Linked DNA regions of Caenorhabditis elegans. The protein of the gene in region 2 interacts with the protein of the main gene of each other region in a pairwise test. Each region holds a gene or a part of one and is shown on either strand. Other genes may lie near its edges.

Region 1 (8,556 bases), on a different chromosome or scaffold from region 2:
AAAGCTCACTTTCCCTACAATCGAGTTGTCAATTGGAGACGTCAAAATCAGTTTTCATCGGAGGAGTCACGTGTTGAGACAACTACAACAACTCCAAAACCATCAGTCCCAGCGGTAACTCCAAAAAGTTGGGCAAAAACAACGACAGCATCGGCTTCTGGTTATTCTGCCGAGCCGGCTCTATTTCTTCCATCAAGATTTCATCGGAAAAAGGAGGACGTCGTGATTGTTTTTAGGAAAAAACAGAAATCATAAGAGAATTTCGTGTTATTTATTGTTATCTTTTAATTTTAATTTATTTTGTTCCATCTCTCACTCTGTCTGATCAAATACAAATTTGTTTTCTTTTCTTCAATTTGTAGTAAAGAAATTTATCAATGAATCACCGATTTGTTCATGAATCTTGTTTGAAAAATTAAATTTCTTTCAATGCAAATGCAAAAATTGGGGAGCAATTCTACGAAAAGGCATAGAATCAGTGAGGAATAAAATATATATTAAAATATAAAAACTATATATTTTTTGTATTACCCTAGGACACCGAAAAATGGAAGAAAATTAATGAAAAATGATGATGAGCAGGATAAAGACACGATGGTCAATTAGAATTGGGTTTCACTATCAAAAACAAATGAAACAATATTATATACAAATATATAAAGCCAGCTACGCGGGAGAAAATCGAGAAAGTAGAAATGAGGGGGGAAAATCATAAATCACTGGAGGAGGCCACGGAGAGCTGATTCAATTATCTGGCGATGAGCAATTCGGGTGACACCGAGCTGTGTAAATCGAGACCGATCGCACTGGCGAAGGCATCGGCCATTGATTCGTTGACTTCGAAATGCTGGTGTATATTCAGAGAGGTGTAGTGATGAGAGCCAACCGATGACGTCATCCACCGACCAGACATCTACCTTCTTGTGTTCGAATGATATTTCACTACCTGCAAAGAGAGGAAATTTGGTAATTTGTTGAAACTTAAAGGAATGAGCCCCAAAATCTAACAGATAATGATTTGAATTAACAATTTTTTCTTTTACAAAATATCCAAAAAAGAAGTTTCCTTCAAACATATTTCAAACTAGAAATGTTAACAGATAAACTGAAGCAAACAATTCAAAAATGAAGAGTTACACTGAAACAGAACAAACGAAATTAAGTAAATTAAAAAACCAAATCAAATTGTTTTTTTAATATTTAGAAAACTAAATATTTTGACAAAAATACTATTATAGTATAAATATTTTTACAAGTTTACAAGTATTTTTACAAGAATACAAGCGTAAACAAATAAACTAGATAATTCTCAAAACTGCTCTAAACATTTATAATGATTTGAATTGAGAATTTGCTAAAAAAAATGTATCCCGAGAACACAACCAGAGCATTCCAAAAACCCCATGTTAACCAAAACTAGACCCCAGACAGATTTCATTCTCCCCTTTCCTCTTAGATTCATAAATTAATCTCCAAAATTTGTGAGAACATAAATTAAGTGAGTGTGCAAAAAGAGTAAAACTAATGGTGATGTCAAATGAAAAACAAGTTGGAAGAAGAATCTCTTACAGCGAATCTCTCCATCGCTATCGCCTGTTCCAGAATCCGGATCATCATCATAATCGACAGGTGGAATGACATGAGATGGTACCACGAAGCATCCAGGTTTCGTTAGATCAACTGTTGATGATGATGACGCAGTTGACGACGAGGCAACAGACATCTGAATTGCAGGTTTTAGGTTAGAAATTGGGCACAAACCACACATGAACAAATTAAACATTCTTTCACACCATCTTTTTTTTGGGGTTAAGAAAAATGTTATATTGAGAAATCAGTGCAGGGAAAAATGGGTCTTACATTGTCCTTCTGTCCGTAATTATCCTCGAGATGCTGAGAGATCAGTGTCACTCTTTGAACATTTGGAGAGTGATCAAGTGAGAAATGGGGTCGATGATCTTTTTCTTCCGATTCAGATGGTTCCAGTGACGTTCGAGAAGATGTGTACCTGAAAAGAGAGGATTTATTTAAGTTGTATGTAAGCTTCAAGATTGAAGATGTTGAGCTACGGAAGTTCGAGAAAGCAGTTAGCAGTTACCGTGTTTTCTCTATTAATATTGTACTTCGATTGTTCAACTTTACCAGCTTATATCTCAGTTTTCGGTTGTTCTACACAAAAATTGTCAACTGACTAAATATTTTCTGATACTTTTTCTATAGTTTCATAGTTGAACATTTAATGATATCTTCTAAATGAACTGAGATATAACTGTTCAAAGTGAAATAGTGGGAATATGGTTAAAGGTACTATGAAAGTAGGCAAGAGACACGAATAGACGCCAAAAGTCTCAGAATGTTTTGAACTACATTCTGACAGACTTTTTTAAATGTTCCAAAAATTAGCAGTTAGAAATAGCCAATTAGCAAAAATCGGACACAACCAATAATTATGCAACCAACGAGCATTTTTCAAATGAAATAAACTCACTTACCCACTGTCCTTCTTATTAACTATTCCAATGTTCTGAATTCCTTTTCCACGTTCTACAACATTTTCCCGAACAGTTTCTCGAAGTGATAATCCTTCGAATCGACTTTCTCTCTCCTCATCCTCATCGACATCGTGAGCTACTTTACTCCGCCTCTTTGCCAACGCATTCTTCAAATCCATTTGAAAATCTGTCGTGGAGTTGTTGTTATTATTGTTATTATTACTGACAGAAGCCGCCGATGTTTCTCGTGGTTCTGCTTTTTTTAATTGAACTGATTTCAAGGCATCTGCTGATATTCCTTTTGAATTGCTCATCAAAACCGGAGCACTCGCAGCCACATGCATCAAACCTCCCGGAGGAGGTGGTGGAGGTGGTGGCGGAGCTCCAGATGAGATTGGAGGCAATGGAGGAGGTGGAGGAGGTACTGAAGATGTTGATGGAGGTGTGAACTCAACATGTACCATCGTTGGCTCGCAGTGTGGCGGAGGAGGTGGTGGAGGCGGTGGTGGAATCGATGACTGCTGCTGCTGAATTGGTTGAGGTGTTGAAGCTGATCTTGGAAGAGATGGATGTTGTTGTTGATATTGGTGGTTCTGATGATTCTGATGTTGCATCGGTGGAGGAGGTGGTGGAGTTTTCGGCCTTGACGTTGGTCGGAACGGCCTAGAATATTCACTCCGCTGCATTGAAGAATCTCTCTGCAAATCCGGAGAGATATACGACGCCGGTGGTGGAGCTGGCATCTCATCTTCATCGTCAAATGAATCAAATGAGTCCATTCGAGATAGTTGAGGTGTGCTTCGACTGCTACAGTTGTACTCGAATGTGCTAGTTGTGGGAGCCTGAAAAATTCTACTTTCTCAGTGTGCTCGCTGTTGGGAATTTTGCTCTGAATTGCTCCAAATGACATGATATTTAACAAACAAAAAAGAAAACATTTAAGAAAATCGGGTTAATTTTTTAAATTTTTTTCTGTTTCAAAATGTTTTTTAACTTTGGCATTTTGGCATCTTTAATCTAGTTTCTCCGTAATTTAGAGCAAATAAATATTCCGATTCCCACATTTTTCTAAAACTCACCGCTTGCTCGAAAGTCGACCTATTCAATCCGGCAGATGAAGCCACCACATTCCGTTGACCTTTCCTCCTCTTCATGTCAGAAACCGAATTATACTTCTTTGACGAATAACCCCCATTCAACGACTCCTGATCATATTGCATTTGATATGGTGAACCTTGCACCGACGGTACCCGCTGTCGAACCATCAAATTCTCCAATTCCGCTGCGGATATCCTCCTCCCGCTACCCGGCCTTTGCCTGACTGACGCGTGACGTGATTCCGAGTAGGCGTTCCTGATTTCATTTGGGGCATAGTAATCAACTCCATGCGCATCATGCGTGTCTGAAAATAAAATGACTATGCTACACGAGACCGAGAACAAATCTATAGAACAGATAACACATAATTAGAAAGCTGATCTCTATGTAAATTCTAGATTAACGTGAACAGTGAATTAGAAAGTTAGAAAAATAAAGTAAAAATAAAACAAAAAAATTCGAACCAAATCTCATCCGATAAACACTGGACGCTTTTGTAGACGAGTAGATTGCTGACGGCGTGGGTGTAAAAACCAAAGAGTGACGAGATGATGCTGGAAGTGAATGTGAGTGAATGGTGACGGTGCACGGATTAGAAAACAATTTGTACTTGAACAAAGACTACACAAAACTAAAAGCGTGCGAATATGAACGACGATACGTTGAAATTATCATTGAGATTTGGGATGATAAGTTCAAGCTTACACTTCAAGCCGAGTTTGTGCAATATCAAGATCATCAAGATACTTAACTCCCAATATGAACTTCTTTCAACCCAAATCTCAACAACACTCTATTCAACTTTCTTTACCTGTTGGCGGTCGATGCACAATAGTTCCTCCCCTACTCATATCAGCTACATCGACTGTTATCACTTTCAGTGTAATCGTGTCACCGGCTTGCTGAATGAATTCGACGACTTCATCGTGTGAACACCTTCGCACATCGATTCCATCAATTTCCAGCAAGTAATCTCCTGGCCTTAATCCCGCGCGAACCGCCATTCCGGACATGTCGACACCTTCAAAAAATTGAAGAGCCGGCACTTGAGCAGTTGGCTCGAAGTTCAATGGCATGGCGACATCTGAAACAAGAACTATGAGAAAATTATTGAGCAGTTACATAAGAAAAAGGAATTTACGTTTAGCTCCTCTCAAAATGAAACCGAATCCCTTGACACCACGTGGAATCACCAGAATCCGAGCGATATTTGTCTCGTGTCCAGCTGCAATCATTCCACCACCACGCATCGAATCCATTCCAGACCGTCGCATCGTACCGTACTCTGATGGGGTGATGGTAGTACGGGAGGATCGAGACGGGCTTGGCGATGGAGCTGCAGACATTGGACCTTTTCGTACACTTTGGGGAGTACGGTAGACATCCTGGCTGCATATTGAGGATTGGGACATCGAACGTCGGCGAGTGATGGTTGAGCTGAGGCGTCGGCGAGTTGAGTATTGAGGAGTGCCGCGATATGGTACTGGAATTTAGATTTTTCAGAGAAGTTAAAAAAATGACTCTCTTACCTGAAGATTTAGGATTATGTGCTTGAACGACATCAGCCACACCAGGATTTCCGACAATATGCGAAACATGTAACGCAGTTTGTCCTTGCTTGTTCACAGCTAGATGATCAGCTCCCCGAAACAGCAGTACTCTTGCACATTCTGGCCTATTGTTCACTGCACAGACATGAAGAGGACTATTCCCATTTACATTTTCAGCATCGATCTGACCACCGAAATAGAGTAAGTGTTCCACATGTTTCGTTAACCCATTCTTGCATGCTTGATGAATCTCGTGGTTTCCGTGCATATCGGTCACACCGATGTCGGCGGCTTCTCGTAGAAGAATCTCAGCGACTTGATCATTCGAATCTGCTGTCAACATATTATAGTAGAGCGGTGTAAGTCCAATTGGATCACGATAGTTTGGGCTTGCTCCAAGTTCGATCAAGGTTTTTACATTCTCGAAGGAAGATAGAAATGCGGCTTTGTGCATTGCAGTTTGGCCTTCTGAATTGCGAAAATCCACGTGTGCTCCGCCACCAATAAGGGATACAATTACAGCTCGATTGTTCGGGATTCCAGCAGCCAGCGTTAATGGGGTTTCTCCCTGAAATTTTGTGAAAATTAAAATAATTTCAAGATGCCCGGCAATCCTAGAAACATCCACAAAAACTCACCTGAGCATCATGAAAATTTGCATCAAGTCCCTGCGAACACATCTTTTCCACTTTCTCGTTATTCTTCTGCTGAACGTAGTCCATAAACTTTTTGAGTTGGCCCTGCAAAACGAGAACGATAAGTATCTGAATTGAGAGGTGCGCGCGAACACAAATATTATTAGTTTGTGAAGAAAGGGGGAAAGATATGCATCTGATGGAATATGACGCATAAAACACCTTGTAATTATACAAGGTTTTTGTCAGTTTTCGATCAACATGTTGGATCGGAAGGAATTGAATAATAAGATGGGATTAGAACTAGAACATTTAGAACCTGGGAGGTTTTGGCATTGAAAGTTGAAAGAGAAGTAATCCCTACCTTCGTGTGCATTGCCTTCAGCTGCTTCTCGTCAAGATTGAGCATCTTATAGACTCGTTTCTTATACTTCAACTCGAGATACGGAACACAATCAGTGAACGGATAGTCACGAATGGTCCGATCCTCGAGAAGAAACTTTCCGGCTCGTCCATCGCATGGAGGAAGGAAGAGCCCGTAGTTGAAAGCTTGCGGAAGAGCTTGCGGAAGGGTGGCCAATAACTTGCGTTTCACATCCCAGATGAAATCGTTTTGGGTCACCGCAAGGAACTTCTGAAATTGAGAAATTGTAGAAGGATTATGGAACACCTAGATAAAACATTTTGAAATTCTATGGTAAGTTCTGCAAATAGTCACAATTTTATTTTGCAATTGCTCACCCGAACGTTAAGCTCCGGAACGAAGATCTGCAAATTAACGGTGTCCTCCTCTTGATTCATCGTGAATGCTTCCGCTCGGACGCCTTTGCTTCCGATGATGACACTAGCGCATCAATATGTCTCCGGACTTGTACAACACTGTTAGAATGAAGTTACCACTATTAGCTAATCGAACAGAAAGAAATGCAGAGGAAATAGAGAAATTAGAAAAAAGAAGAGAAGAAAGGCGATAACTTTGATGTATTTACTATTGATGTCAATTGGTGGGACATGGATCACAAAGGGGGACAGGCAACATTTTGCGCATGTAGGAGGTGCTGATCATGGGTAATAAAATTGAACATAAGGTCGGGTTGGTCGGGACAAAAAAAACGATGGAAACTCTGGGTAGAGATAGGTAGGTAAATGGTTTTTTGACAGATAGGTTTTTTTGTAAAATTTCTAGTTCTTGGTTGCCTTGGTTTAAAAGTTCGAGCTAGGGCGATGACGGGCGATTGTGGGCGAAAAGCCAGCAACAGGCTGCCTTCACACATGCCTATGTGCCTGCCTATTTGCCTATATTCCTATACGCCTACGTGTCTGTTTGAAAAACGAAGAAATCGTAGAAGTCACAAAAAGTGTTGCCAAATACAATAGCGTCGAGTTTTAAAATCTGCACTTTATTGAAATTAAAAAGTCTAATAATCAAACCTATAAAGTTTTAGAACATTTTCAAACTCGAATCTATCAATGTTTCCGCATCTAAAATTCAAGATCCACAAGTACTATGCAAACTTGAAAAGATGATGGAATTCTCAAAAGACTTATAGGTTTTGCCATTCGAAAAGAACACTCGTAATGGAATTGAGGAAGCGAACAGAGGAGAGAGAGCGCGACTCTTTTCTCCGTACTGTCGGAATAATGTGAGAGATAGCATTGAAGATGTGGAGACGCAAACTGTCTATAAGAGAGGCGGAAACTGGCTTCACTTCTTGGAAGGATGAGGAGAAGAAGCTTGTGAGGAGAAGAGGAAAACTGACAGAGAGAGAGAGAGAGAGAGAGAGAGAGAGAGAGAGAGAGAGACAAAAAGTAAGAAAACGAACAGTGAATGCACGAAGTAGTAGTATTGAATGAAGACGTAGCTGTGACAAAGAGGTAATTAAGTATGTACTCAAATAGTTTGTATGTTAAAGGAAAAAAATGTAACATTGTCCTCAAAGTGTCTGAAAGTTCAATGTGAATGTTGAAGCGGTGTTTGAAACACATAGGAGAAGGGTACATATTAAAAATATGAAATTGCACCACATTACTTAACTTTAAAAAATTATATCTTGGTGTATTTTAATGATATCAATAAATTATCGAATACAAACGATAGAAAAAAAATTGCAAATATTTCGTTAGTTAACAATTTTTGATTAAAACAAACGGCAACTGAGATATAAGATGCTAAAGTTGAACAAAAAAGTGGAATGAGAAAATATGGTACTCAACTTTGACAGCTTGTAACTCGGTCGTCTCTTAAAATTAAAAAAAAACTTTTTAGTTACGTAAACATGAATTTAACAATTTGTTCGTTAACAAGTCGCGAATTAAATGGAGAAACTAGAACAATTTTCTCTGAATTTCATCTCCAAATGGTTTTAAAGCACCTCGAAAAATGCGATAAAACTACACAAATCTCGTTTCCAATTTCAAGTGATAAACGAGATGATAAGACATATGGAGATTAAGGTAGTCAAAGTAGATGATCCGTACAGCTTATTGCAGGTAGGCTTAAAGGTAGTGAACAAGAATTATCTAGGGAGAGAAAGAGAGACGTCTGGATGAAAGGAAGGTGACTATTGTAAGCTGACTCTTACAATTGAGTCAGAGACATGTTTCCGCCGGAGTTTACGACCTTGGACACAAAGTTCCAGAATCAAGGTAGTAGGGAGGAAACTGGGGGAGGTAGGGATGGGTATTGTAAAAAAATATATTAGTCATTTTGTGGTGTCAAATCAAATATTTACTTTTTGATTCCCCCCTATTCAGAAAAAATCTGACACCTGATAAGAAGGA
Region 2 (6,004 bases):
TGAAAACTGAGTTTTTCTGAAGTTATAATATTTCAGGCAATTTGTTTCCAAGAAAGTAAATTCCCTCTTCAAATTTGTAAATACTCGCTATACTTTGAATCTTTATTTAAAAAATTAATTTTTCGTATTTATTCTCATTTTAGATAATTTCTTTAATCTTTAATGGAGAAAAAATATTTTAAAAATTAGCCTATTTTACCGAATTGCCAATAATATTTTAATCAATAAATTCATAAGTCTGATCTATAAAATACAATTTTCTGATCATCTCTACTATCACAATTGCTTCCAAAAACCAAACTAAATTTCACTTGGTTTCTAATCTTTTAACATTTCCATCTTTGAACCACTTTAAGCTATTTGAATTCTCAATTCAAATATTCTTTGACAATTTGAATTGAGATGGTAGTCGGATGACTCTAGACATTCTCCCACTTTTTAATCATTAAATTAATATGAAGACGTGAGAATAAGAGGAGAAAGAGTGAAAGAATAGAATTATCGTGGTGCTCTCCGCTCTGCCGTCCTGTTTTAAAATTCTCTCCCTCACTGCTGGGTCGCTGCTGCTGGTCCCCAGCTTTTCCGAATTTTCTTTTCTTTTCCCTTTTCTTTCTTCGTTTTCCTCTCGAATTCTTCTTTTTTTGTCCTTCTTCAACATTTTTGAAGAAAAGTTGGAATTAAAAAAGAAACAGTTGGCATTTGTTGTCCGATTCCTTTTTTCCAAACTTTGATGGTCCAATTTATCTAGAACCTATAGTTTTCCAAAAAAAGAAAGAACATCTCCGCCCAGTATTCCCTTCATCACGAACCTCTAATCTCCAACCCATCATATTTGCTCCGTCTTTTTTGTTCAAAATTTCTCAATTTTTTGGTGACAAAAAGAAATAGAGATGAGAGAAAGAAAGAAAAAACTCGAGTTTTTGTGCATATTTGGAAATGTGAAATGGGTGTGGTTATGGTGTAGAAGGACGTCGTCGTCAAAAAACTGCAATTCTGCGCGTAAATATTGGCGGTTTGGCGAAGAGGTGATGAACGGCCCGCCGCTGTCCAGATAACGTTTTGTGGCAACGGGAAAAAAAGAAAAACGAGAGGAGAGCTGTGAAAAATAGAGGGTTTAGCACCCACATACACATACACCCGAAAAACCACACACCGAAATTCAAACGTTTTCATTTGTTTTTTTCTTTCTTCTTATTCTTCTTTTTCCTTTTTTCACCCGTTCTGTTTTGGTAGGATTGAGAATAAGATAAGAAGGTGAAGAAGCCATATTTCAATCAACTTTTGATCTACTGTCTTTGTGCTAAAGCTGTCTGGTGTTTCTCACATTTTTTTTATTCAGAAATCAACTCAAAATCTTCTCGATAATAATGATTTGCACAAACACTCATCTAATTTTTCCTTTTTTTTGGAATATTGACTTCAGAATTATGAACTGGCTACCGTTTTTGACAACAATGGTGCAGCTTACTGTATTTGCCACATTTCTTGTTAAATTGTAACAGTTAACGCTATTTTCCAGACAAAGAATAATTAAAAAAATATACATACCGTTTTATTAGTATTCCCCTCATTGTTCAACTTTGACATATCTCAGCTATAGTTTTTTCTATCAAAAACTGGGCAACTAACTTTGTAGTTTATTGATATGTTGCTAGGAAACTCTTTTTAAAATTTAAAAATTGAAATTATCCAACGAATTAAATACTTTGCCTTGAAAATCGAGAAAAGCCCGTAAATTTTTTCTTAAATCTCCAAAAAATCATCGATTTGAATTTTTTAGTTGTTGAAAAAAGTTTAATAAATTTTTTACAGTATCTTAAAGTCAAAACGTTTAACTTTTCGATATTCTCTACAATTGATCCTGAACAATTTTTCTCCGTGCTTGCTGCTTCTCCTCCTCCCTGGATTCCAATTCCATTATTTTCTTTCATTTTTTCTGGAAATAACTAGTTTTTGTTTCCTTTCTGTTACATGTTGTTATGCCTCTCAACCCATTTTCATGCTCTTTTCAATCTCCGTCACTTTTCGGTCAGAAGTCTTTCTTATTCCCAACTTTCGTTTTTAAAAAACGAAACTTTGATCGTCAGTCCTTCCCTGTCCTCCTCCTTCTCCTTCCCCAGTTTCCTCTTTTTTTCCCAAAAGGACATTGCTCTTTCCCTTTTTTTTTTCTCATCCCCACCTTCTTGTGAGGGTGGATGCAAAACTAAACTGCAAAACTGGCGAATAAAAGAGCTTTAAAGTCGTCGCTCCTCTCGGTTTTTTTCTTATTCTTCTTATTTTTCTCCACATTTTCTGATCTCAAATTTCGATTCCAGAAGAACGAGAACGCACTGTGGTGCACGAAGAAGGAAGAGAGATATAGTGTGGAAAAGGAGGAGTGCGCCGACACTGCTCGATCGTGAAAGGCTCGCATGACGAGCGTTAACCTGTGTCCATCATGTCAGGTAAGAATTTTTTAATTCATTTTATAAAATTATCTGCACAACAATTACAAAGTACACGACCCACAAGAAATTCTGAAGACAATCAAACTGCCGAAGTCTACCGTACTAAACGATTTTTTATTGGTGTTCTTATTAAAGTCATATCTAAAATATTTTTTTTTTTTAATTCTAGCTTCGGATGTGCAATATAATACGGATTTTCTAGAATTTCATAATCTAAAAAAAATAAATCAAGTCGAAGATCAGCGCTCATCCAGATCTTATTCAAAGCTTGCCGTAACTATAGTTATAACTAGTAAATTTCCAATTGAATAAAAAAGTTTATTTTTTTGTATTTCTGATTTCATTTCTGATTTCCGGGGGCAGATTTGTGATGGGTGGTGGTTCGGCTCAAGTGGTCGTGGTACTCCACATCTGCACTCTCTTTGCTTTTGTTTTCGAGTTTTCGCGCAACCAACAAAAATCGAAGAGAAAAAGTGAACGGAGTGGAGAAAGACAGTGAAGATATGTAGAGAATGATAAGTTATTATTAATTATTTCAGTGTTAGCGAGTATGATGTCATCGGGGGAGGACGAGGAGCAGGCGGCAGCTGATGAGCAGGAGAGAACCGATCTGTGGCAGCAGACATTACAGGTTAGTATTTTATTTTGCAAACACTTGAAAAATTGTAAAGAAATACTTTGGAAATCTCTGGGAAAAAAGTGTGCAAAAAGAGTGGAAACTGATAATTCTTACGAAGCAAGAAGAATCTTCATCTGTTGGATAGATCCAACAGATTTCAAAAATTATTGAAAATATACCTGCTGTAGGGCCTAGTATGTCATCCTTGAAAGTCAACAAGCATTTTTCATTTGACCTAAAAAGCTTCTTTATGCTCATATCAAGACACTGGACTTCCGTTATTAAATCCCATAAATCGCATCCAAATTGGTAGATCCTGAGGGTCAGCGACCCCATCAATCCCAGCAGCACAATGTTACCACTTTTAATATCCGGTAGCTTTTAATGGTATAAAATGGCTAGGGACCACATTTATGGTATCATTTATAGTCAGATGCCCACTATACGTTACCATGCCCGTGAGCTTTATGCCGATATTTATGGATATTTTGACGGGTTAGGTCCTTTACTTTGGATGCGATTTAATGTAAGTGACATATTCTTTTGGAAGTGTTAGAAACACAAAATGTTGTTAAGAGACTCTCTTATTGTCTCGTACTCTCTCTATGATCCAGGAACTCTTCTGATTGAACACAGGCAAATCCGCAGTACGTGTCTGTGTGTATCATCTCTAGTGTAATATGCGGGAGCTCTCGAGAGACGCAGATACTTGCAGAAAATAAATTGAGGGTGGAAAATGGTGATCTTGTTGTGAAGTCAAAATATCTGTTTGGTACAAAATGAGGGAGTGCCGAGTGACACAGATCTTTAAAATTGACCCTTGTTAGTCATGCAAAAGATATGTGACACCTCCCTGTGCATTTTTGGAATCTGAGAATAGACAAAGATCACAGATGAATTTTAAAAATCAATTAGCTTACTGTACTATGAGAACTGAAAATGCGAAGATTTTTCTGGTTCCATTGGCTTGAAATTTTATTTTAGTCAACCAATTTTCATATGAAACATTTCGAAACATGCTTGTTTTTATCTATTGATTTTCTGAAACAGAGATAAAATTTGAGAAGTTGATAATAAATCACTTTTTTTCGGAAAACATGCCATCCAATTTCTGATATTTTCAATTTCTAGTTTTCTTTGAACGAGTGACTTTGCATTCTTCAACATAAAAAGAAAAAAAGACATTTCATGCACAATGTGGATATGATTATCAAGTTGAATGGTGCCTTCTCTTGCTCTTTTTGTTCTTTTTCTCCACTTTTCTTTCCCCTTTTTCTCTTTTTCTCTCTCAATAAGATCCAAAGGGATCCACTTTTTGAATCCATCCACCAAAGTAAGTATGAAAGAAAAAAAAGCCGAGAGATGCTAACAAAACAATAAAAAAGAAGAAGGCGGGATCTTTTTGTGTATTATGATGGAGCCTATTGGTAGAATGAGTGAGAAAAAGAGAAAGATCTTATGCAAATTGACAAATGATCGTATTCATGGGTTTTGCGAAAAAGGAAAGAAGCTCTTTCCTCTATGCCAGCTCAGTCGCGCGACTTCTTGAGAGAAGGAGAAGAAACTGAAATTTGAAACCGACCATTGACCGATTTCACATCTTTTTCCAATTATCCACATAAAAACAAGAAATGGAAAGACAATAAAATGATGAGGGAACCCAGTTGAAAAAAATACACCAAAATTTAAAAATACCGAGTATCAACAACAAGTTATTAATCAAGCGTGAAATCTAGAGAAGTTTATTTGAATGAGCAAAAAATAAATTTCAGGCCGCCGTGGCAGCTTCATCATCACAAGATGCCACAAAGAAACGACCCGCACAACGGAAACCTCTTCGACAAACGAACGTCGTCGAAAGATCCGAACGATCACTTCTTTGCCTCTCCTTGAATAATCCCATCCGAAAATTGTGCATCAGTATTGTTGAATGGAAGTAAGTTTATTGTTTTTCTAAATTCAATTTTACTAAAATCAAAACCATTTTCAGACCATTCGAGTTTTTAATATTGTTTATGATATGTGCCAACTGTATCGCTCTAGCCATCTATCAACCCTATCCTGCTCAAGATTCAGACTATAAAAATACATTACTTGTGAGTTTTTTTCAAAATTGAAAATATGGTGAATGTTGCCAAATAACCCGAAAGGGTGATAAAATAATGAACATTATTCAGAAAAAATTTATTTAATTTTTTTGTTCAAAAAATTGAAAAGTTACTTATAAGATACATTTTTTCCAAAAATAACAAAATGCAAATCAAAAATAAAAATATAATGTTAAAAAGACAAAAAATCGAAATTTCAAAATTGTTAATAATTTTTATACCCTGCATTTATGTTTTTGATTTCAGTAAAATTTGAGAAACAGTTTTAAAACTTAAAATACCAAGGAGTCGAGCCAAAAAAATTTATTATTGAAAATTAAAATAAAATTGCAAGCCATTTTAATTCTAAAAAATTGATTCTCAAAATTTAAAAAAAAGTATAGAAATTTAAAATTAATAATCTCAGGTTTCCCACAAAATTAAAAAAAAACATACAAAAGATGAATCTAGCAATAAAACTTCATTAATACTGTTTTATGGAAACAATTATAAATGTTACTTCAAATTACAGGAAACAATTGAATACGTGTTCATTGTCGTATTCACGATAGAATGTGTGCTCAAAATAGTGGCTATGGGGTTTATGTTTCATCCCAGTGCATATCTTCGAAACGCATGGAATATTCTCGATTTTATTATTGTTGTCATAGGGTGAGTCGTTTTTTGGTTTGAAGTTTCAAAAACAATTAGAACAAAAATTTCAGACTTGTGAGTACCATATTATCAAAAATGTCAATTCAAGGATTCGATGTAAAAGCTTTGAGAGCATTTCGTGTACTTCGACCGCTTCGTCTTGTATCAGGAGTACCAAGTTTACAAGTTGTGCTCAA

Evidence for each region. The genes of interacting proteins can lie anywhere in the genome.
Region 1: the proteins of egl-19 (region 2) and shn-1 interact in a two-hybrid assay, tested with the Caenorhabditis elegans proteins (one study listed by BioGRID).

Annotation. Positions count from the first base shown.
Region 1 is NC_003280.10:11,384,209-11,392,764, forward strand, and holds shn-1 (Protein shank), read right to left. Parts: upstream 6,657-8,556; 5' UTR 6,577-6,656; coding exon 6,517-6,576; intron 6,410-6,516; coding exon 6,140-6,409; intron 5,881-6,139; coding exon 5,779-5,880; intron 5,709-5,778; coding exon 5,120-5,708; intron 5,074-5,119; coding exon 4,732-5,073; intron 4,675-4,731; coding exon 4,402-4,674; intron 4,145-4,401; coding exon 4,055-4,144; intron 3,895-4,054; coding exon 3,572-3,894; intron 3,530-3,571; exon of another isoform or gene 3,509-3,529; intron 3,335-3,508; coding exon 2,493-3,334; intron 2,009-2,492; coding exon 1,861-2,008; intron 1,724-1,860; coding exon 1,570-1,723; intron 947-1,569; coding exon 717-946; 3' UTR 354-716; downstream 1-353. Other genes in the region: C33B4.5 (uncharacterized protein), read left to right, coding at 1-255. UniProt on the Caenorhabditis elegans protein: Scaffold protein that most likely acts in the postsynaptic density (PSD) of excitatory synapses which orchestrates synapse formation and maintenance at neuromuscular junctions.
Region 2 is NC_003282.8:7,403,145-7,409,148, forward strand, and holds the start of egl-19 (Voltage-dependent L-type calcium channel subunit alpha), read left to right. Parts: upstream 1-2,437; coding exon 2,438-2,444; intron 2,445-2,780; exon of another isoform or gene 2,781-2,930; intron 2,931-2,986; coding exon 2,987-3,078; intron 3,079-4,049; exon of another isoform or gene 4,050-4,070; intron 4,071-4,260; exon of another isoform or gene 4,261-4,394; intron 4,395-4,544; exon of another isoform or gene 4,545-4,685; intron 4,686-4,838; coding exon 4,839-5,002; intron 5,003-5,056; coding exon 5,057-5,162; intron 5,163-5,685; coding exon 5,686-5,825; intron 5,826-5,878; coding exon 5,879-6,004.